Linked DNA regions of Neodiprion lecontei. Each later gene encodes a partner of the first gene's protein in a complex. Links are inferred from orthologs where the notes say so. Each region holds a gene or a part of one and is shown in the gene's direction. Other genes may lie near its edges.

Region 1 (7,693 bases):
AGAACTGGACTGAAGATGGCCGAACGGGTTAGCTTTGCATTTTTGAAATTCTCAGAACTCGGAAAGTTTTGGTCTCGGAATCGTTTTGTGGAACTCATCCCTAATTAATTGGACTTCCAGGAAGACAGAAAACGCACCAAAAAGAGCTTAGCACCAACAGCAGGGAGATGACAAAGGAAATCTTTCGTTTTTCCGCTATCACTTTTCATCCGTTGCTCGCAGCGCATTGGGACTGCGCCCAATCGATTCCTCTCGCAAAATTACGTCAGAATAATGCATGAAAGAATTTTTCGAAGCACTTTTCAAAATCGCGAAAATTTTCGCCCAAAATGCAAAGGGGTTAGCCTTACTTTTTTCTTCATTTTTAAAGCTGAAAATTTTTGGTCTCAGATTCGATTCATATGACCATTTCCTGACTAATTGGATCCCCAGGAACTCAGAAAACGCAGCGAAAAGAGCGTAGGACCAACAGCAGAGAAATGACGATGAAAATTCTTCGTTTTCCAGCTGTAACTTTTTATCCGTTGCTCGCAGCGCATTGGGACTGCGCCCAATCGATTCCTCTCGCAAAATTACGTCAGAATAGTGCATGAAAGAATTTTTCGAAGCACTTTTCAAAATCGCCAAAATTTTAGCCAAAAATGCAAAGGGGTTAGCCTTGCTTTTTTTTCATTTTTCAACCGAAAAATTTTTGGTCCCAGATTCGATTTAAATGACCCTTCTCTGACTAATTCGACCCCCAGGAACTCAGAAAACGCAGCGAAAACAGCGTGGGATCAACAGGAGAGAAGTTACGAAGGAAAAAGCACCTGCTGAAAAATGTCGAAAACACAGATTCTCGTTTTTCGGCTGTAACTTTTGATGCGTTGATCGCAGCGTATTGGGACTGCGCCCAATCGATTTCTCTCGCAAAATTACGTCGGAATGGTGCATGAAAGAATTTATTCCAGCACTTTTCAAAATCGTGAAAATTTTCGACAAAAATGCAAAGGGGTTAGCCTTACTTTTTTCTTCATTTTTGGAGCTGAAAATTTTTGGTCTCAGATTCGATTCATATGACCATTTCCTGACTAATTCGACGCCCAGGAACTCAGAAAACGCAGCGAAAAGAGCGTGGGACCAACAGCAGGGAAATGACGATGAAAATTCTTCGTTTTTCAGCTGTAACTTTTTATCCGTTGCTCGCAGCGCATTGGGACTGCGCCCAATCGATTCCTCTCGCAAAATTACGTCAGAGTAGTGCATGAAAGAATTTCTCCAAGCACTTCTCAAAATCGCGAAAATTTTCACCAAAAATCCAAAAGGGTCATTTATATTATCATGTCACCTATTAATATTCAGACTGCTGTATTCTATGTTAGTCACATATATTATAGGGGCTTTAATAAGCCTCATTTATTCGAGCAAAAAATATTCAGACTTCACTTCTCTACGCAGGGAATGGATCGTCGGAAAAAGAATTAGTATCTAAGGAAAAATGAGTTTTAATTGATATTAATGATCCATTTTCAACATTCAAGAAAAGAATGTTGAATGCGAAATTGACATGCGTCAAAAATTGTTTCTAATATTTGATGAATGTTGAAATCGTTACTTCCAGAGTAATTAGAACTTATAAAACAAAAGGATCTGAATTTGATGAAGAATGAGTTATCGATTGGCTTGTTGGAATTTGGAATAAAAGTGTTCCACGGAGAGGTGGAATAGATCTGCATACTTGTAGAGAACGCTAATGAAATAATGCATCGACTTGCTGTACAAATAGTTTGAATTTCTTTGCAAATTTTGGGCTATAGTCTTCAGTCTTGCTTCACCCGTTTTCAAAATCACGGATTTGTTGAAATAAATTTCTGGAGTCAAAGCATTTCGAGATTTTTCAAAATTTTAAATTGCATTGGTTGAGTCGTGGTTTGAGTAGTATTTAAAGTGCATGTTTCTGATGTTTCTCAGATTTCGCATATTTCTGCAAATAAAGATACGTTTTCGACATATCGGTGGTAATAGCTAACGTTGATAATTTTTATCAAAGATGAGCAATAGCTAAACAGAATAGAATAACTATATACAATTCAGCGTTGGTTTCAATCAAATCGATAAAACACATTAAGAAATCAACATGTTGGGATACATATACCATAAACTGGATCAAAATCGGAGGAGGCAACCCATAAAGGGTTCCTTGTTAGTGTCGAGTTGTGTCAGAAAGTTGACATAAAAGGAAAGCGACCTATATATTTCGGCAAAGTAGCGATAAAATAGTTTTCCTTACCTATTCTTTCCTGCATAAGGGGTTAGGTGGGTTTCAAAAGCTCAAAATAGGTACATTTTTATGAATTTTTTTTTATTTAGTCAACAGAATATTTCATTCCATCAATTTAACACACAAAAGATACATATTTTATAAGTAGTTTGTGAAATTTTCATTGAAAAATATTGAAAATTAAGGCGTGGACACGTCGTCTGCTATGACCCCTCAAAAAAAAGTTTTCTCGGCGTAGTCAGGATAACTCATGACAGATTCATCTGAAATGCATAAACCAAAAATTTTCCGTTAGTAGATGTTTAAAACTCGTGCTTGGACGAAGGAAAAAAAAAAACAAAAATTACATTTTTGGCGGCGTTGAAAACAAAAAACACTTATTTTGAGTAAAATTTGCACCCTTCATGGCCTTGAAAAATTACTTGGAATAGAGAAAAAAAAAATTCCTTCGTTCAAGCACGAGATAATGTTATTTTGAAGAAGTGTGCAAAATTTGAAAGAGATCGGTTCATAAGTTTTCGAGAAATCGTGACTACCGATTTCAAAAATGTAGTTTCGAGAAAAACGCGATTGAAGATTTCCAGAATAGTAGCCAATAATCGTACTTACACCGTATAATGATGCAAACCCACGTTTTTTCCACGTGCCATCACCTGACACGGTAACATCTGTCGTATCTTCAACATTATTTTCATTACACGTTAATTTTTTTTCTTGATTTGCAGCAGACAACCTCCATATACCTGCGTCACGCTTGGTTATAGCCTGATGGGTGAAACATCCAAAGGCTATATCTCTTAGAATATGACTCGGATCGTTTTAAAATTTTAAAGGAATATTCTCAACATATTCAATTATAAGATAAGCAAAAAAAAAAAAATTCGATTTTTTGAAATTTGGAAACCCACCTAACCCCTTAAAACTAATCTTTACAAGTTCACATGTAAGGGTGCGTTCCGAAACTAGCTGGCAGCACTAAAGGTTCCTAGGACAGAGGCAGAGCTAACCATGAATTCAATAGCGCAAAAGAGATAAACGATTAGTGGCAGCACTGAGCACTAATTTCGGAACGCACCCAAAGTTGTAGGGGGCATGGCGATTGGCAATGTCGATTAATAATTAATAAATAAAATTGGCGGCTGCGACGGTTGAATTCCAGATACTTAAAATATTGATTCTTGTTTTCTAACAGAGTACATACTTTTTGCTACACCTCAGAAAGGTGATTGCGGTTGATTAACGATACCAAGCTGAATTACCTTTGTATCTATAGGTTGAGTTGATATTTATTGGTATGTTGAATAGGTTATACTTATTCAGTTTTAGCGGGAAAAGTTAATTGTACACTATTGCACACTCTTGAGTCCTGTCGCGAAACTTTAGTCTGCAGCAACTGTTTTGTAATATTGTATTTGACATATACTGTAATATCGCAACTATTCAAAGTTTAATTTTATGTGCTCGTAATACTCTGAATCTCGTTTCCTGTTTTAAGTGGAAAATGGACTATGTAAAGAGAATATCACGCATCAAGCCCGAAGTCTCAAGTCTTAAGGAAACCTATCCACATGATCTACAATTATATTGTACACCACCTTCTGGTGATATTAGCTTGGCTGAGTTTCAAGAACTGGCACTCGAAAGATTAAAAGGTAATGATCAAGTTTTGAGCAAAGCAACCCTCATTCTGAGAATCTTATAAATTTATTTGGCTCAATGGGATGATAACTTCGTAGAACAAATTACTCAGATGTATTACGCAATGCTATATTGAAGTTGGTATTTTGGTCAAGGTTCAGGTTGACATGATAATACTATTCGTCGCCGCAGACAAAATATTAGATTCTGAGGCAAATATTATGTCTGTTGCAGTTCTGCGGATAGTTGAGTCTGTATATGTGCAAACTGATATAGAGTCAGATAAGCGTCTATCAACAGTATTGAGCGAATTGAGAGATGACAATAGTTTGTCATACTACGTTAAACTTCTTCAGGGCACTGGATGCGGTACTCACAGTGAATCAGATTTGAAAGCTAGAAGAAAGGATCATATTTCCCACTTCATATTACAGCTGGCATACTGTTCAAGTGATGAGTTGAAAAAATGGTTCATCAGTAGAGAAATTGAACTGTTCAAGTTAAGATACAGTAGCTTAAATTCTGAGGGTCTGCAGCAATTCTTAAAAATAAGTAGTATGAACTTTGTGCCTGTAAGTATGGACTGATTACATACCTAGGTTCATTTATCAAAGCTTAAACGTACGACGACAGTTCCCTAATGTATTTATTTCTGAAGTTTTGATTATTCCATCTATTACTGTGTTCCTTTCTATGCTTCAAATAACATCCGTTGATTGAAATTATTTTTTTTACTAGATATCACAGAATGAAAAAGAAGTAATCAAAGAATACCTCACTCAATCAACAGTTGGATACACAGATACTTATATAGAGGTTCACGATTTTTATAAGGTATCATTTTGTAAGGTGACCGATTTAGTCAGGAACAGAAGAGTTTACGTCCACTCCGGCTTTGCTTATATCCCTGACAAAGAGCTCATATCTGTATTTGTAACAGTTTTGAGGATGCAGTTAGCTTCAGCGTTGGCAGTAAGTACGAAAATATAGAAATTCTATGCGCAGCAAAATTATACAAATAACAGTATGACTATTTTTCTGTTTAGTACACCAAACGTGGAATGCCAATTTTAAATACAGATGACAGACTTTTCACTTTATTGAACAGTCTTCACAATACTTATACTGGTGACGACTTTACCATTTCAGATGGTGCAGCTGTTCCCATTGAAAGTTTAGATGCGGTAATAATATTTTATGCACATACCTACATATAATTACATATGTCCAATATAGTGTTTGACTGTGTAACCTTCAATTAATAAATTCACATAGATATTCACAATGAAAATGGTGTACGGATAGCACTTAAATAGTTGGAAAACATTTTTCTCAGCTTTCAAAGTCCTCGTATCCTCTTTGTATGAGGTTCATGCACGACGCACTGAGGGCGAAACATCATTTGAAACATGAAGGTCGGCAGCAGTATGGTCTATTCATCAAAGGAATTGGTGTGTTATACGAAGACGCAGTTCGTTTCTGGCGTGAAGAATTTTGTAAAAAAATGGAACCTGAGAAGTTTGAGAAGAACCACTTATACAATATAAAACACAACTATGGGAAGGCAGGGAAGCGAACAAATTACACCCCTTACGGTTGTCTGAAAATCATCCAGTCTAATGTTGGCCCTGAACAAATCCATGGTTGCGCATTCAAAGAGACGGACATAAAGATTCTCAAGCAAAAAATGTTGAGCTATGGTCTAAATTCAACTGGTATCGTAACTGTTTCCTTCTAGGATTTAATTCTGACTTGAACTTTACAGTTAGGCAATTTCGGTTGATAGCATCCTAATCAAATTATTTTGTCTTTCAGCTATTAACAATATAGCAGGATATGTTGAAAGTGGCCATTACCAAATAGCTTGTGGAAAGTATTTTGAGGCTGTGCACAAATGCCCACCACCACACGCGGTAATACATCCAAACGTCTACTTTAGAGACAGCCAAAGTGTACTGACAAATGGAAACTCATCAATTGGAACAGGTGTGTGACGAAAAATCATGTTTATAATTGCTTGACTTAGATATTGTGTTTAATTCCGAAAAATTATTTTTTTATTCCTCTTTATTCTTCTCTTTCAGGACAGTCAATGAATGGTGAAAAGAACGAAGGGAAACAAACAAAACCTGATCCAGTGATGGATGATGCAGATGACATGGATATTGTACTGAGTACGGCCGTATTATAATCATCAAGCGATATTTCTTATTAATATATATATATTATAATTATTTTTTTTTACAACAAATATAAATAGACATCTTTCAAAAATTATACGACCTTTCCAAAAAGTTCAACTAGTGTTCAACTAGTTTCTTTTTTCATGCAGCTGTTGCACTGTATGACTGGAACGCAAGGGAAGTTACACTAAGGACCACTTCGAAAGTTGAGTACTGGATTGGTTATACGTAGCTGTTGACTTGTTGCTGGGTATTTTTAAGTAGGAAGTTTTCGTTTACGTCTCTAATCATGGCAGAAACGAGACCCTTCATACCGTATTTGTGTTTCCATCCCCAATCGCGTCGTGCCTCGCTGTCGTCAAAGACTTGGGGCCAGGCATCGGCTAAAACATGATGCAGCATTCGTCATAAATAGTTTGCTTTCGCATCAATTCTATCGAAATGTCCCGAGGGTAATTCAGTCAGGGCAGTCATAAATTTAACTGTTCAAAATGAACCAAATTCGAAATGAAATGGAGGTAGGTGAAATTATTGCAAATAGCTTGAAATCACGATAGCGCTGAAGAAATCGCGTGACAAGAGTTGAAAGGAACGAAAATAAATATAAATCTTATGGTAAACGCTAGATGATTTTAATTGATTAACATCCTATCTGTTCTATCTTATTACGTGCTTTCGTTGTTTTTCAGTTTACCAAAGGATTTCCGATGATCCTCGAGTGTTCTAGATGATTTGTGATATCATTTGATTCTGTCCGAAGCGAAAATCACTGACAATCGGCCTAAAGCGCTCGGAAATCAATGAAAATCAATTAAAATCACTTGGTAAACTGGAAATCTACGAAAACCTGGAAAAAAATAATGATTTGGAATAATTCATCTGATTTCCAAGTGAATGGCCCCTAGACATGTCCTATGAAGCTTTGAAATGTGTCCGTTGATCATGGAACGGTTTTTCCCTGTCTAACTTACCGATGAGCTGCCGACTGTCTGGCTTATACGTGATTTGTAAATCAGGGATATAATTCTTCATCTCGGTGAAGAGTTCTTCCGGGGTAAAGCTCATTGCAGTCACATTGTAAACTCGTCTGCCTAATGCTTCGTTTGGTGCATTTAAGAACTGAAAAAGCGCGTTGAGACAGTCCTCGATATACATCATAGGCATCCTTGTATGCGGTTCAAGATAACATTCGTACTTTCCGTGACGCATACCCTCGTGAAAGACCGATATTGCATAATCTGAAAAGATTATCAGAGATCTCCGTATTAAATTGCATTCTGGTTGTAAATTGATGCTTATTCATCACGTCGCGATGCGATTCTTTGACCTATATTTATTCAAATTTTCCACTCAAATTTCAAACGCATTATACCTCATTAGAGTTTAACCGCAAAGTTTACTTGTACGCGGTCTAGTTGCTGAGAAAACGACTGGCAAGCTGCTGCTATACAACGGAATAAAAGCACTATTATGTATTTTATAACGAATTATTGTAAATCATAGATGAGCACTTGATTATGCATATGGATACCCGTTAGTATGTGGATGAATTATAGTGCGTACTGCTTATACAGGTTATTCAAAAAAGACGTCTTCTAAATGAAATTCTCTA
Region 2 (7,484 bases), about 25 Mb from region 1:
ATTGAAAGTAGGTAAGCGCAGGAGAAGAAAAATGTTCGACAATCGCACTGCAATTTTATACTTTCAACATATCGACGTTAATTCCGCAGCTGGTTCATTGATTTGAATTTCAAAATCAAGATCTCTATCACGAAAACTAAGCAACAAACCCAAATACAGGTTGTATAAACCAAAAACAGATATTGAAATTTGTAAATTGCACGAATTTCGAAGTACATTTGGGCACCTCGCCGCTTCAATATTCTCTCAGAATCATGCTCGTCGGGATCCCAATGATTCAAAATGCCAGATTCTGTCAACCTTTGAATCACGGTGTTAACTGACTTGCGAAGGACGGATTTTTTCTGCAAAGCGACAACCGGGTGATAAGCCAACACGCAATTGTTGAACACGTCGAAAGTTACGGATTCTTGAGTCTTGGCGATCGTCTGTCTGAACCAATTCAACGCCGATCTCCTCGCGAGGAAAGCATAGTTGTTATCGACCCTCGTGAGTTGATCCCAAATTGCCGAATCGTTATTGTCTACAACAAAGCGTTCGATGAGTCGCTGGGTTATTACACTGTCGTTTTCTTGATCCTTGAGAATTTTGTAATCGTAAAGTGAACCAATGACGGTGAGATTCGCCTTAATTATCCCATCGACATCCACGATCACCGAGGAACCTCCATCCGTCGCTAAAATTGATGCCAACGACGCTTTATACGCTGTTGTTATGACCATTGCGTAGTACAGATAGATGATCAAAACGCACCTTCCTCCCGTTGAAAAGGATACGTGGTTTATCGGATTCCCAAGGTGGAGTGTCAGGGCGTCGAATAAAACCTTGAAGAATCCCACGTGCTTTCGTTTAACTGAAATCCAAACGCCATTTGAGAGCGTCAACGAGGATGTCGGTTTTATTGGACTCCACAAATGTTGTTGGACACCTCATTGAGAGACGATGATTGCTTACCGTTTTCAGATAAAACGATGTTCCGATGGACGTATCCAAGCACCCAACTGGCCACGAAGGCCACTCCAACAGCAGCCCACACTGTCCCGGAAAATTCCATGAACACGATGTCGTCCTTCCAACTCAGTACACGAGGAACTCCCCAAGTTATGCATTCGTCGTCGTACGCGGCAGAAACTGCAATCTTGTTCTGCATTTCGTTCGTCGGACGCAACCGGCCGATGCCAATTTCGGTAGTACCATTAATAACGTCGTTTATGATAGCTACTTTTCGGGAGTACTTCATGCGATCAGCCATCGATGGATGTCTCAACGCTATGGTGAAGTTCAGTTTGTCGGCAAGTGTCAGGAGCAGCTTACCTTCACGTCCGCCAACAATGATCAACGAACCATTTTCGCTCTCTCTGATCATCATTTTTGGCGTGAACGTCAAAGAGCTTACGGAGACTGGACACCCGTTTAGGTCGTTCAATTTGAAGGCCCAGGTGTTCATCTGCCCCAAGTCCATCCCGGGTCTCCAAACTCTGGTTAATCGAGCTTCCGTAGAACAGTTCTTGGTCACGAAACGACTGTAGAGCTCAACGACGTCCTTCGCGAGCTGTGCGAATTCAGTGTATGGCATATTATGCTCATGAGCCCAGATGAAAATCGACCGAATATTATTAACCGGCATGATCGTGCTGGATACGAAGAGGACGTGGCATGTTTGACACCGTGAGAGAATATCGACGTTCTTTCGGAACTTCTTTTCGCTGAATTTGTTCAAAAATACAATTACAAGAGTTCTTTCGCTGAACCTTTCCAAGAAAGCACATTTTTCCATATTTGTACACATAATGTAAGGATAAAAGTTGAGCAGCGATTGAGCTTTACTGCGATCATTGGCGGATGCTCCGACAATTGTTATATGTCGAGGCTCGCTTTTTTCCACATAGTGTTTCAACAAATCGACAAAAAACAATTCCAATATATTGTTCAAATTTTTCACGATCAATGTTTGACCTCTCACTGATTTGGTTAAACTGTGTACTTGACAAAATAGTATTTGAAAGCACAATGTTTTTACCACCAAAAACTTCATTGCGCAGTAATATTAAATATTTAATTCTTCTTTCCAAGCATCGAACGTGATTTTGTTAAGTCACAAACTTGATTAAACCTTGGGTAACTGCTTTGTCTTTGATGCATGTGTCAAGTTTCATACCATGGTCGTACGTGCAAATTTGAAAGTATTCTTTGATTTTAGAAACACAGGACAACCCATTTTTGCGTTCCAGTATCCACCAGAGAGTTCCATCTGATTTTGCCCCAACTTCATCATGCCGCGAAAGCTTAGGGTCAACTTTTATATGTGAGTAAAATTTGTAATCATCGTTCAAAATCCACTCACGAGAGACGAGGGGCATTATAAATGACAGCAGTAATGAAATATGAATTCGGTAAGTCGCATTTAGACTGGTAGGTGATTGAAGAACACACCTAATTTGCTGTTTATCGGCGAATCTCGGTGTGTTGAATAAAATATTGAATCGCTATTTTACCGAAAATGTAAACAAGCTGTTTTGAACAACTCCTGCATCAAACTTATAAATACGTATAAATATTAATTCGTGACCTATAAAATATCGCCGTACCCATACTGTACTCAAAAAAATTTGACATTTTTTTGAAGGGAGTCGAATACGATTAGCGAAATTGATGTAGCCTGAGTTTACGAGGTAAGGTGTAAAAAACGTGTAATTACGATTGAAATGATTTATGGCAAAGTACCGACGCTTTGGTGATATGATATATTTTATTCATAGAATTACACGCACTGTTCATATCCAAAATACGTATAAACATAAATACGTCGTACTACAATGTGACCTTGTTGTCAAAATATGCAGTTATTATCCAATTACGTCTGTGGATGCATCCGCATTGTGTAAAGAAAGTAAGCTTAAAATACACTGTACTATTATAAATATATTTTGTTTTATGATAATTTAAAACAGTTACTTGGCCATAGATAGCAATTATAATTTTAATATGTGAGATATTTGACATGAACGGTTGGATGTGCCTGCCAGGGATTAATGAAGGTAAAGTCAGCTGCTTTTGAGGGCGAAAGTTGTGATCTCTGATTGGCGCAAATGGATCATTCATCTGAATCGAGCCAATTACGAGTCGACAATTCGTAACAGTTAAGATTGTGATTGACAGATCGCGTTCAGGTCGAAAAACCTGCTAGGAATTGGCGCGAAAATAATTCTGTCAAATTGCGTGTACACATTGTAACATTTGTAATCCTGTTGTGTATTTAATTTGTGGCAGTGTTCGTGAACGTGCGAAAGAATTTTGACGGAGTTTAATTTTCAGTCCTGTGATTGAATGATATCGTGAGTAAACTGCTGATTGAATGCAGAAGAAAAGATTCGATACGACCGTGCAATAAACGCGCCTAACCTAAAAGGATGTCAACCGAGGGAATAGAGAATCTGATAGATCTTTTGCCTCTTTACTATCAGCGGCTTTTTCCGTTTCACGACTACTACAGGTGGCTGAGCTACGGTGATCGTAAGTTAACTTGTCAATTTTAGCCGCAGGCTTATTATTTCTGTAGGAGGGAAATTTGTTGGTCTTTCTTTTAATTTTAATCCAAAGTCTTATCAATGGCGGTACATCCTTTTCTTTTCAGCCAGCGTCTTTTCACGCAGAGAATTTTCTTTCACCGTAAGAGATGACGTCTACATACGATATCGTTCCTTCGTTAATCAAGATGAACTACAACTGGAATGCAGACGACTCTTGCCGTTTAAAATTGATATCGGTGCGATATACAATATATGGTAAGAACCGAAATACCTTGGTCTACTTATTATTTAAATTCAACAATTCAAATTATGCCTGCTCGTTGTCAGATTCGTTTTTTACTCAAGCTCTCCAGTCTCATAATTCCAAAACCAAAAATTCTTCAATCTTCCATTATTTTTATCCGGAATTTTCCAGTATTTGTTTTTTTTTTACGTCAGTAGAAATAATAATCGATGTATTGATCGACTTCTCTTTAGCCCAAAAGATGAGAAGAAATTTTCAAGTTTTCTGCCGGTAGAAAGAGAACTTGTTTTTGATATAGATATGACGGATTATGACGATGTTCGAAGCTGCTGTTCAGGCGCCGACATATGTACAAAATGCTGGAAGTACATGGTGATTGCCTGCCAGATATTGGACTCCGCACTTAGAGGTAAAGCACTGTCAATGACTAATGTAAAATGATTTGAAACTTGAAGTGATAAATACCTAAAACTTGAAATTTAATATCAGAGGATTTTGGCTTTGAGCATCTATTGTGGGTATTTTCTGGAAGAAGAGGTATACATTGCTGGGTGTGCGATAAATCAGCTCGCGAGTTGAATTCGATGACCCGCGGCTGCGTTGCCGAATACTTACAGCTTATTACTGGTGGAGAACTAAAAGCCAAGAAAGTCAACTTTCCTGGCCCAAAATTACACCATTCTGTGAGGTCAGCGTGTAATCCGTTTTGGATGCTTATGAGTTCTTGATTCTTCCATTTGTGATTTGCATTCAAGAATCTGTTAGATCAGATGTTTATTCATTTTATATCTTACAGACGTGCACTAAATATTATAGAACCACTGTTCGTATCAATGTGCGTCGAGGAGCAGAATATGCTCGGAACAGAAGAAGGTGTTGCCAAATTCTTACCACTTATTCTTGACGATAGTTTAAGATCCCAGGTCAAGGATTTATTCAAAAAACATACATCTAGTGTTGAGCGTTGGGAGGCCTTCACTGCCTGCTACCAAGTCGAGAAACAAACGGTAGGATGATTACATTTTGTACAATGTAGTATCTTCAATTTTCTTGATGTTATTAAAAAAACTCATTTCCAACTTTCATCTTCTTTAAAGGGTAAAAAATGGCGTCTGAATCATCTTCTGGAGGAAATAATGATCCAGTACGCGTATCCGAGATTGGATATTAACGTGACCAAGGGAATGAACCATCTTTTGAAATCGCCGTTCTGTATTCATCCAAAATCGGGTAAAGTCAGTGTGCCGTTTAGCCCAAAAGCTATTGGTAAATTTAACCCGTTAACTGTACCAACGATAAACTTGCTAATCGAGGAAATCAATGCATTCGACGCCAAAGAAGACTCTATCCAAGAATCAAACACTAGGAGAAAAATCAAGGACTATAAAAAAACTAGCTTGAACAAATCTGTTCATGTTTTTCAAGAATTTTTAAGGAATTTGGAAGATGCTTCAAAAGGACAGAAGATTTTGCAGAGTGGTAATTTTTTATTTTCTCGTATCTTTTGTGACTGATATAATATATTATTATTGTATAAATGTCATTTTATGTTGCAGATATGTTGATGGAGTTTTAGTAATGCAAACCAATAACTGTGAACTATAAGATGAAACTCGTGTTTTAATTTTAAGTAATCAATAAGTTTCGCTTACAAATGAAAAATAAAAGAAATAAGTACGTTTAATACGTTTATGAATGATTTTGAATTGCTCTTTCGCAACAGTTTAATAGATTACTATAAACGCATCTGAACCGCTCACAATCAATAATGAATACTGATTTATTTCAAAGAAGCCAGGTTTATTTTAAAGTGTACAACCAAGTGGCTGTTGAAGAGAATTTTAGTTATGCGTAAAAGAATCCATAGAAGCTTTATAAGCCATTATACAATGTACGTTACTCTGCAGTATGGCTAATAAAATTAAACAGAATCATGTCTGGCTTCCCAGCCGACAGATTGTCTGATTCGCTCTTCTGGATATGTTTTATTTGTTTTGCGGTATGTAAGATTAATTTTTATTTATGCAAAGTAGTGGTTTTTTTCGTATCAAATTTCTCGTAACTATCAAGCTTGAATAAATATAATAAGCATATTTAATAAATAAATATGCTTACTCGCAAACAATTCCATTTCATTTAAATGTTGATTTTGATCTGTGTTGCGACAGCTATAGAAAAATTGTTTTCTATGTAAGATAAAGTAATCCATTTAATACTCTACTATCTCTCAATTGTTATGAAAAGTTCATCAATTTCATTTAAACACAGCCATCGGCGCATTCACTATTCTTTCGACCGGTGCAAGTAACTTTGTTCGAAACCAAGACATCTGTGGGCAAAACAACGGGCGACGACTTTATTTGGAACTCGGGGAGCGAGGTATTCTTTATGCGAAGAATGTTACATTTGTCAAAAATGCACCCAGACAACAAACATCACGAGCTTACGTCACCAACAGTTCACACAATCAGTGCAGTTTGGAACTCGTTTCTTGTCCATCTTGTATCATCACCGTGACATTTAAACACCTCGAACTGTCTCACCACTGTGGAGATGGAAGTATGATGATAGACAACCCCTGCAGGTACGTTACAACACCAACTTTACAATCAATCGCCGCCAATATCTTAATTCATTTCATTAGGTGCGATTACGTCTGGATCGCAGAACCTCCATACGAAGATGTATCTGGTACACCGTTTTGCGGCTTGTACACACCTCTCACGTACAGATCTAGCACGCGTACATTATCTATCACTTTGTTGTACAGCAAATCACACAAGCATGCTTTTGCAATGGAATATACAGCTGAGAGTGAGTCGATAACTCATCTACAATAAATTCAGAGGTTTATCTCCCATTGTTATAATTTAACAAAGTCATTCTTTCAGGGAATAGATTACACTTGACAGGTGCTGATATAGTGACCGGAGTCGCAAAAACACTAAACAACACTGGTGGTGGTATACTAACTTCACCATTTTTTCCGGCGCGTTATCCGAGGGATTTAGGAATGGAATACATAATAACATGTGCAGCAGAAGCTCCTTCTTGTCGAGTCAGGGTACTCTTTAGTGATTTTCAACTCGCTACAGTTTCTATCGTTGAGGTGAGAAAGGGTATTTGATCATAATTTCTCAGTGCCATATCCTTGAAGAGTTTAACGTTTACAATTTCAATCCATAGTTTTACGACTGGAATGGACAGCGTCTGGATGTTAGCAGCGGTGCTAGATTTCGACCACCGGTTATAGTCAGCTCTGGACCGTCACTTCTCATAAGATTTTATGCGAATGGAGGAACTGGTCTGGGCTACAAAGCATTCTATTCCTTTGTCATTGGTCATTTATACGACAAGTCAATACAACCCATCACTGATTGCGGAGGGTACGTTGAGAATTTGGGCGGAGCCATTACAATGATGGACATGGTCAATCAAGGAGCGAAGACCTACGATTGTGTCTGGTTGATCAGACCTCCAAAAAATTTTCTCCACATGAAAACTCATATGTACTTGAAGGTGGTCACCTTTGCTGACATGGGTAAGCCTTTTCTCTGCATGCTGAAAATGGTGTGTAAACAGAAAACCAAGTAAACCCTATTTTTTCGTATTCGTAGTTTTGCGTATTCCATATAATTGTTCAAATTTACAGCTGGCACCACAGAACTGACAATTAAGCAAGGACCCACATCTGCACTTTCTCCTTTGGA
Region 3 (7,631 bases), on another chromosome or scaffold:
CAAAAACTTGTAGATTTTCATTCTCTGCAAGCCAATGCAATTTAAAAAAATAGGAAACGTTCGAATTTCCATAAAATTATTTGTGGTTGTAGAAATCATCGCCAGGTCCCTTAGTAAGAATCGAGTATGGCCGGCGCTGGTGAACGCCGTAAATGCTGTAATATCTACGATCGCATATCCGTAATCCCGTGTTTCACGCACACGCCTTGTGCCCGCTTCAACACAACGGTAAAATACCCTCGATTTCACGCTGCCCGTGTGCGGTGCGCGAGCAAAGAGCAAAGCTAGGCGAGCGATCGAGATGCTACGGGACTCGGATGCCATCACACGACGCGGTCGCAGCGGAACCAAAATGGCCGTTGCGTAACGACGCCGAATGGCCGCCCGACTCCGGTAGCGGCGTTAATAAGCGGTTGCTTACAAATAGACTGCCCCAATAACATATTATTCCCCTTATCTCGGCGCAACCCCTTCCTCTCCTGCTTCTTCTTCTCCTCCTCCTCGAAACTCTGTACTCTGTTCTTCTCTCCTTCACCTAGACTCGTTACATACGTGTTTTCGTAGTCGGTCATGTCCCCCACCTCGTTCTTTCTTCATCTCACTCCCGCTTCGTGCCCAGTTCTGTCTCTGGTTTCTAATGTTGTTGCATAATTGCGCAGGCTTTGAAAATCGATAGAACAGCGCAGAAACTCCCGTAGCTTATTCCTGTACCCATCTACCTACCTACCTAGCTCGTCTATAGACAATTTCACTATATCTATACTCTCGTAACTCACTCTCTGTATCCCTGTTACCGGTAATTCGCTACGCATTATGGAATCAAATAATGCCCGAACATTTTGATGGTAAATTATTTACATCGAAATTATAAAAATCGATAAAAAAAAAAACCACGTCATCGTGTTCAATTATACGATAAGAATAATTGACACCTTTTTTTCTTTTCTTCTCCCATCTCGTTGAATTGTATCTACAAAACAAAAATACTACAACTCGCTTTGTGATCGATGGAAGTCTTAGAGTCTTTTATTTTATTTTTCCGCGTATATTACCGAAGCTCTTCTATTCAGCGATATTCGGTACATATATATAGCGAAGAAATGAAACTATTTACAATGTACTGTGCTGAGAGCTCTCAAATACGTTATTGGGTTCCATAATTATTTTCTCCTTCTAGATTCAATCGCAGAACTGAGTCTCAAAGTTTTTGCATCCAACTTGATACAATTTTACGTCTTCCATTTTATTCTCGTGAACGGTTTTCTGCCCACCATTAGATGATACTGCTAATAATCCTGCATATACCATGGAATGTACGAAAAGCCGGCAAAGAGTAACGAGCCGGACAGATTTGAAAAAAATCTTGCAGAAAATGATACTTTTCTTTTTTTTCAGTACGTGTTCAGTTTCGTGGTGATTATGATACGAAGGCATTGATCAAACGCAGTGCAGACGGCAAGTCCTTGCTTGTCTGGACTCCAATCCAACGAACTGACTGGTTGAGAAGAGAGCGTGCTGTTCTGGAGCAGAGATACTGAACCGACTACTCCCTGCTCTATGCCATCGGCGTCTGCTGTCACTCGCTTTTCAGGATATTGGCTGCGGCACACAAGAACAGAAATTTTACATTGTGAGTATAACATTCGACTAAAAATTTGTTAGGAAATTATGAACTTGAGTGAATGAAATTTATCTACTATTTCCAAAGGCATAGCGATCCTCCACCTCCCGACGTCATGAATATCTCTCGGTTCTGGGGCAGATGACGTACCAGCCATATAGTTGATTTATGCGCCTGAAATCAAGTCGGATTATGGCTTGTTGCAATGCTCTATAAAAGGGTAATAATTACTTTCTGGTTATTTTGACAAAATTACAAGCAAAACAACTGAACTGCAAATTACTTTTTCTGAAAGATAAGAGAATCCTTTTTTGGGATGTTGAGTTTTCAGGTCAAACAGGTAGAACTTGGATTCAAGAGTGGTGGCGACCAGTTTGTTCATCGCGATATCTTTTCTGTCAAACTCCAATCCACAAACTCCGTTCTTCAAGTTGCTCTCCCATCTGAGAGCCATCGCCTTTAGGTCAAACATCTTAACGTCGCCATTGTCATAGCCAGCCGCGACGACCCTTTCTTCAGAGTTGTACGAGTTGCCAAAAGTGACAACCCAGCAGTCCCTACGGTCTTCGCCCTCATTTGGTTCCATTACTGCAACTGGCCGCCCCTTTTGCCGCGGATCCCAGACTTTGACGCTGCCATCTCTGGAGCCGGTGACGATTTCAGGAGCCCCGCAACCTATCGTCTGCCCGCCGATGCCGTCAATGGAGTTTATGATCTCCTTGTGAGCATTTGCCGAATAAATAGGAATCGCAGGATCCTCCAGGTTGTAGATATTCAGTTTACCCTGAAAATGATCAATTGTTAATCGACAGCGAGTAAAGAGCTGGTAACAGCGGCTCAGATTCTTACCTTAAAGTCTCCGGCGGCCAAGTATCTCTCTCTCAAACTTGACGCTCCGAAGGTGCCGCACTTCATCGGATTAGAGCGCTCGATCTCTTTGATCAGCTTAAGCTCCCCGCTGGATATTTCGTATATTTGAAAAACGCCAGATCCTCGCGGCCTCGAACCCATTACGACGAACTTTGCGCTGCTTGGTATCCACTTAGCGTCGAACAAAGAATAGTTCACTGACTTTTCGATGTGACATATTATCTGCGGCTTGGATAGTTTATCCATTTTTAAATCATTCGATACGGACTTGGTTGCACTTTCAGCCGCGAAATTCTACCAGCCGATATCGACACGAGGAGACAGCCTTTTAAATGACTGCCAACACGCGATAAACAAATACCAACGCCTCCTATTAGCTGTATGCCTTATTTATCGCTTCTGCGATTTTCATCAAGTGGTAAGCACTTCGCAGTAATCTACCGATGGTCAAAGTCACATTTCTGTTGTACAATAATGTTCATGAAAGTTTTGGGCTTCTGGCTAACTTATTTGGGATTCGAAATATAAATCCGAGTTCTTTTCTATATGAATTATGTGACAATGACTCCCAATCTCTCTGGTACCTCCAGCACTGTCAGTCATTGTCATATAATACTTATAGAAACAAACTCGCATTTTGTTTCGGACCGAAAACAAGTTAGCCGGATTTCCAAAGCATTAATAAACATTACTGTACTATCGGAATGCCAAATCCTAATAGACCATTTCGGAGATGAGCGTATTCGCATGCATAATACTTCTCTGCTCCCAGGTCAGGAAAATTTGCTCAGCGATACGCGTCTTTATATTTTTCAATCAACGGCGTAGTGGAGAAGCACCGGATGTGACTAGTAGCCAATCAGAGCGTAAGGATAAGAAGAATAAGGAGTTTGAATCAGGAAAGTTTGAATACTTACAACGGTCGTTTCGCGTCGCCGACAATCACTTGTTTCTCTTCTTGTTGATACAATGCGCGTTGATTTTTCGGCAGATTTTTTATCGCTCAAATAGCAGTGTGATTGGTGTTTTTTACGATTGAATAATTAGCCTCGTGCACTTGCATGGTTAGCTTGTCCTTCTCAAGTCATGATGTAGAGGAGGGAAAAACAGAGACACCGATGGAGTGAGAGCGTGATATTGAGTGAGGTTATGTTCGTTATTCCAGAGACCTCGAGGTACGTAAATATATTTGGCGGGAAAACAGAGAGCAGTCGGTCAGAGTTCAGACAACAAGATGGTGTTGAAGGATGCTTTGAAGGAGCATTTCGCTGTCTTCGGAGTCGTCGTTAACGACGAGGCGACTCTCAATAAATGTGAGTATCGAAATCTCAGCATTCGCGTTCGTCATTCGCACGTAGAAGTTAAAATCCTGCAGGAGGAATTTCGATATCTGTCGAAACGCGTCTCGCTAATTTTGGGGGTTGGAAAAGAAACCGTACCGTTTTAGTAGACTGTTTTCTTTGGCCCTTCTACCGAAATCCGAAAAATTGATTTGGGAAAACTGATCACATGCACGATTACCTACATTTTGATAGCTAACAGTCTATTTTCTAATACATGGTTGATCCTCCGCAGGTCTCGATCTCTGCGATTTGTACAATTTAAACGAAGAAGCGCTGGTCGAAACATGGATGGCATTCAGCGTGTCACAGTGCCGAGGCGACAACCCAACTGTGGAGTATTTACTGCGGATGGAAAGAAACGAGTTGAAGAAAGACATGGGCTCCGCTGGTAATTCAAAGGCTGATGCCAAACTGTCGAAACTCGCCGTGTATAACTCTCACTCAATGAAACAGTACAAGTATCCTTTGCAAACAAATTGAGTTGAAATTCTTGCACGTAAACCTTGGAAACTCAATTCGCCAAACTGCCAGACCTGGTACAAATACTTTTCAAAATAACAAGCAGATTCCTTAACTTGGTCCCAGTGATGACGAAGATATTTTGGAGCTCTACGGTGCGAAAACCCCAACGACGCCAAGAGTGAGTAAAAACAACACATTTTTCCATAATAGTTGTAAGACATGAATTTTTCCATTGTTTTTATTGTGTTTTTATAAAAACGTGCATTGTATCTTTTATTGCAACAGTTTCCCAGAATTATTTATCTCGCTTTTGCAGCTTTTACGGGCCGATAAATGATTACTTAATTCTATTCAAGAAATCCCAAACAGCGGAGAATAGTCAAAAATTCTTTTCACCGCAGGTGGAAGATAATAATGTCAGGATATATTCTTAGAGTAGCGGAGCTAAAGGGGCAGAGGGAGGGGGGGGGGGGGGGGGGATATTTCCACAACCCATCATTATAAAGGCATTATCGAAAGTATGCGCCATCGTGTGATTCATTCCTGTATCTCCCCCTCATTGCAGGCTCTATCCTTTCCTCCATGTATTATGCCACGCAGGTATCATTTAGAGATCAAGATACTCGTTTTCGATCCTCAGTCGAGCAGGCAGATCACATACACGTTCTGTACACTACGAGTTTTGCTTTCTTGGCTGTTACTTTTTTCGTTTGTTTGCCGCGCAGGTTTTCAGCTCGCTGGTGATAGTTGCCTCAACTTTTTTAATCTTTTCATTTTTTGTTCATAATCTCTTCATTGGTTGGTTCCCAGGCAAAGAAGATCGATTTACATGCGTATGTGCGTGTCTCTACGTGTGTTGGAAATTGTGGTTTACTTTTTTCCCCATGATAATGGAAAGGAATCATCGTTTCGTACGGTTTTTTTTTTTCCATTCCACTTTTTCCCTCCGGCGAATTTTGGAAATATTTCGAATCTCCCAAGGTTCCTATCCGGCTTTGTGTCTGTCTCTTTTTCTCTCTTTCATTCCCCACTTTTCTCTCGTCTCTTTTCTACCTCTCCCCTTGTTCCGTGAAACCGCCTCTCCTCCCGATCCTGACGGCTAGCCGACCGATGCAGCCGGTGGTGGTAGAAGAGCAGGAACCGAGCAGAGCGTTAGGCAGTTTGATGAAAGCGCCGTTGCCAAGCTTACGTCAAGCGAACGCGCGCCGCTTCGTAATTTGACGAAAATTTCGAGCTGCAATATAATTTCATGAATACATGTTTTATCATCAGCAAAGATTTTCGCGCGTTGCAAATTATCGTAAAAAGACGTTTCAACCTTGTCGTTTGTTCGTTCCGTCCGCGTTCATTGAAATTCCATGATCAAATTCACGCGGCGCGATGTGTTCAACTATTTTTGTAAAATATAAATCCGCAATTTCATCGTAATAATAATAATAATAATAATAATAATAATAATAATAATAGTAATAATAATATTATTATTATGTGAGTCGTCAACGAGTCGGAGAATCAAGAGAATCTAAAACTGCAACGTTCGTTCAAACTTGCTTCGAAAATAACAAAGAACTCGTTCGAACAAGATCGTGGTGTAAAAAGACAGGAGTAGTAAAAAAAATTTTTTAAAACAAGATCAATTTACCTGGCAGCGAGAGGAAATTCCTCACTCGGGTATAATACATGCCTTGCCGCGGAAACGTTGGAGGTAACGGAATATCGAGCCGCCTGTTTGTCGGCCGCTCGGAGTACGCATCGTGAATTCTCGAATCAAAGTCCGGTTCGTTCCAACGGCTTTTCGGATTCGATTTTTTTCAAACCCGTCAGACAGAGAACGACACGTATATATATGAATCTCCAAGGAAATGCGGATTGGCATGTGTTCGTCTCTCGCTAAAACGCGCCGCGCTTCCGATCGGCGAAAAATGATTGTACATTATTAAAAGCACGCGATACGATTTACATCGTACCTGGTTTTCGCATTATTCTGGACCTGCGTAATTTCATACAACATTGTTTATCCAAACTCGCGATCTCTTTGTTTGTCTTTTTTGCCATGGGGAAATGAACCTACTCCAACCTTGATTTTGACGTCAATTTTTTTGATTCTCTAGTTGGAATATATTGTCGGATAATTTTTGGAAAGTTTGATTATCAATTCAGCCGATCTTTCTATTAGATGAACTTTACTCGATTCGTTGATTATGCAAATTGAAACAGACGATACCACGTTAATTCGTCGAGCTGTTAATTCCGCTCCTTTAGTATTCTACATTACGGCAGTCACAAGTGTTGTAATATCGTAAACGACTGCCGAAAGGTCCGAGCATCGTGGAAGAAAATTTCTTGAAATTTTCAGTACCGTCCAGTTTATAGGGTAATTCGCCGAGTTTTTATACTACAAAATCGGGGTCCGGGCTCTGGGACCTAACATTACGTCCCTGGGAAGCATACGGTGCTGTGCACGGTCAGCGACGTTTGAAAGATCGTGTGTTGGCAACACTGTCGCGCGTTCTTTGTGCCGGGACCGAGTTTCTGTAACCAGAGTCAGTGTGTGTCGGTGTCGGTGTTGGTTTCGAGAAGAGAGCAGCATCGAGTCAAGTTTATGGCCGTCGGCCGGCGCGTACGCGTCTCGTTCTCTTCCCGCGTCTCTCGGTCGAATTCGTGGTCCTTCCTCAGACCCTAATCTCGACTCCTTACTTTAAAAAACTTGAAACTTGTAATAACTCGACATTCAAATGTTTCAAGATCATCTATACAACTTGTAGTCACAGGTTAAAGTTGAACATTGAACAATATTGAATACCAAGTCGTTGTGTTTGTGTGCTTGATATTTGGAGTTCAGTAGAATCGATTCGAAAATCACTCTATCACTTCCTGTTATGAAACGTTAAATGAGCCTAATCACGAAATTTATACTGAAAAGATTAAGGAAAAGAAACTCCGACTACATAGTGTAACATAGATGGTCTTCTGAATTCAAGTTTTTAGACTTTAGTAGTAGAGTTGAGATTTTGGTGTAGGAAAATAACGGCTGTGAATTCGGTCGAGGATGAGGGCTACTGTCGTTTTTATATCACCGCACGAAACGCGACACCTCGAAAAAGAGGAGAGAGAAGAGAAGTCAAGTGGACAGTTCACGTTCACGTTCACGTTCTTGTTCTTCACGTGTCGCGTTGTCGTATCGCGTTCCCCGCGACGCATCGGGTTGTAATAACTCGGGAGAGTTGAAGACGAAGAGGAAGAACAACGAACAATAAAACAAGAATAAGAAGACGAAAAATCGATCGTGGATTCGTGTGTACGTGTCCTGTGTGGAGTGGAGAGTCTCGACGCCT

What was found. Proteins that work in one complex are often made in the same cells at the same time.
Region 2: DNA primase large subunit (region 1) and DNA primase small subunit share a complex: the UniProt entries of both Drosophila melanogaster proteins name them as parts of the alpha DNA polymerase complex. The link is inferred for Neodiprion lecontei from reciprocal best matches to the Drosophila melanogaster genes Prim2 and Prim1.
Region 3: DNA primase large subunit (region 1) and DNA polymerase alpha subunit B share a complex: the UniProt entries of both Drosophila melanogaster proteins name them as parts of the alpha DNA polymerase complex. The link is inferred for Neodiprion lecontei from reciprocal best matches to the Drosophila melanogaster genes Prim2 and PolA2.

What each region holds. Positions count from the first base shown.
Region 1 is NC_060261.1:14,009,492-14,017,184, reverse strand, and holds DNA primase large subunit, read left to right. Parts: upstream 1-3,374; 5' UTR 3,375-3,552; intron 3,553-3,755; 5' UTR 3,756-3,761; coding exon 3,762-3,912; intron 3,913-4,132; coding exon 4,133-4,470; intron 4,471-4,636; coding exon 4,637-4,870; intron 4,871-4,944; coding exon 4,945-5,082; intron 5,083-5,234; coding exon 5,235-5,613; intron 5,614-5,713; coding exon 5,714-5,884; intron 5,885-5,982; coding exon 5,983-6,089; 3' UTR 6,090-6,177; downstream 6,178-7,693. Other genes in the region: L-threonine 3-dehydrogenase, mitochondrial, read right to left, coding at 6,304-6,464, 7,053-7,319. UniProt on the Drosophila melanogaster protein: Regulatory subunit of the DNA primase complex and component of the DNA polymerase alpha complex (also known as the alpha DNA polymerase-primase complex) which play an essential role in the initiation of DNA synthesis.
Region 2 is NC_060261.1:38,829,437-38,836,920, reverse strand, and holds DNA primase small subunit, read left to right. Parts: upstream 1-3,159; 5' UTR 3,160-3,410; coding exon 3,411-3,513; intron 3,514-3,634; coding exon 3,635-3,785; intron 3,786-4,007; coding exon 4,008-4,183; intron 4,184-4,263; coding exon 4,264-4,462; intron 4,463-4,570; coding exon 4,571-4,781; intron 4,782-4,871; coding exon 4,872-5,253; intron 5,254-5,330; coding exon 5,331-5,350; 3' UTR 5,351-5,453; downstream 5,454-7,484. Other genes in the region: uncharacterized protein LOC124293032, read right to left, coding at 78-853, 955-1,777; uncharacterized protein LOC107219690, read left to right, coding at 5,755-5,773, 6,043-6,358, 6,419-6,588, 6,666-6,883, 6,961-7,315, 7,427-7,484. UniProt on the Drosophila melanogaster protein: Catalytic subunit of the DNA primase complex and component of the DNA polymerase alpha complex (also known as the alpha DNA polymerase-primase complex) which play an essential role in the initiation of DNA synthesis.
Region 3 is NC_060266.1:1,915,684-1,923,314, reverse strand, and holds the start of DNA polymerase alpha subunit B, read left to right. Parts: upstream 1-3,100; 5' UTR 3,101-3,725; coding exon 3,726-3,804; intron 3,805-4,066; coding exon 4,067-4,292; intron 4,293-4,419; coding exon 4,420-4,474; intron 4,475-5,211; exon of another isoform or gene 5,212-5,530; intron 5,531-5,938; exon of another isoform or gene 5,939-7,462; intron 7,463-7,631. Other genes in the region: dynein axonemal assembly factor 10, read right to left, coding at 1,392-1,599, 1,698-1,795, 1,905-2,405, 2,471-2,737. UniProt on the Drosophila melanogaster protein: Accessory subunit of the DNA polymerase alpha complex (also known as the alpha DNA polymerase-primase complex) which plays an essential role in the initiation of DNA synthesis.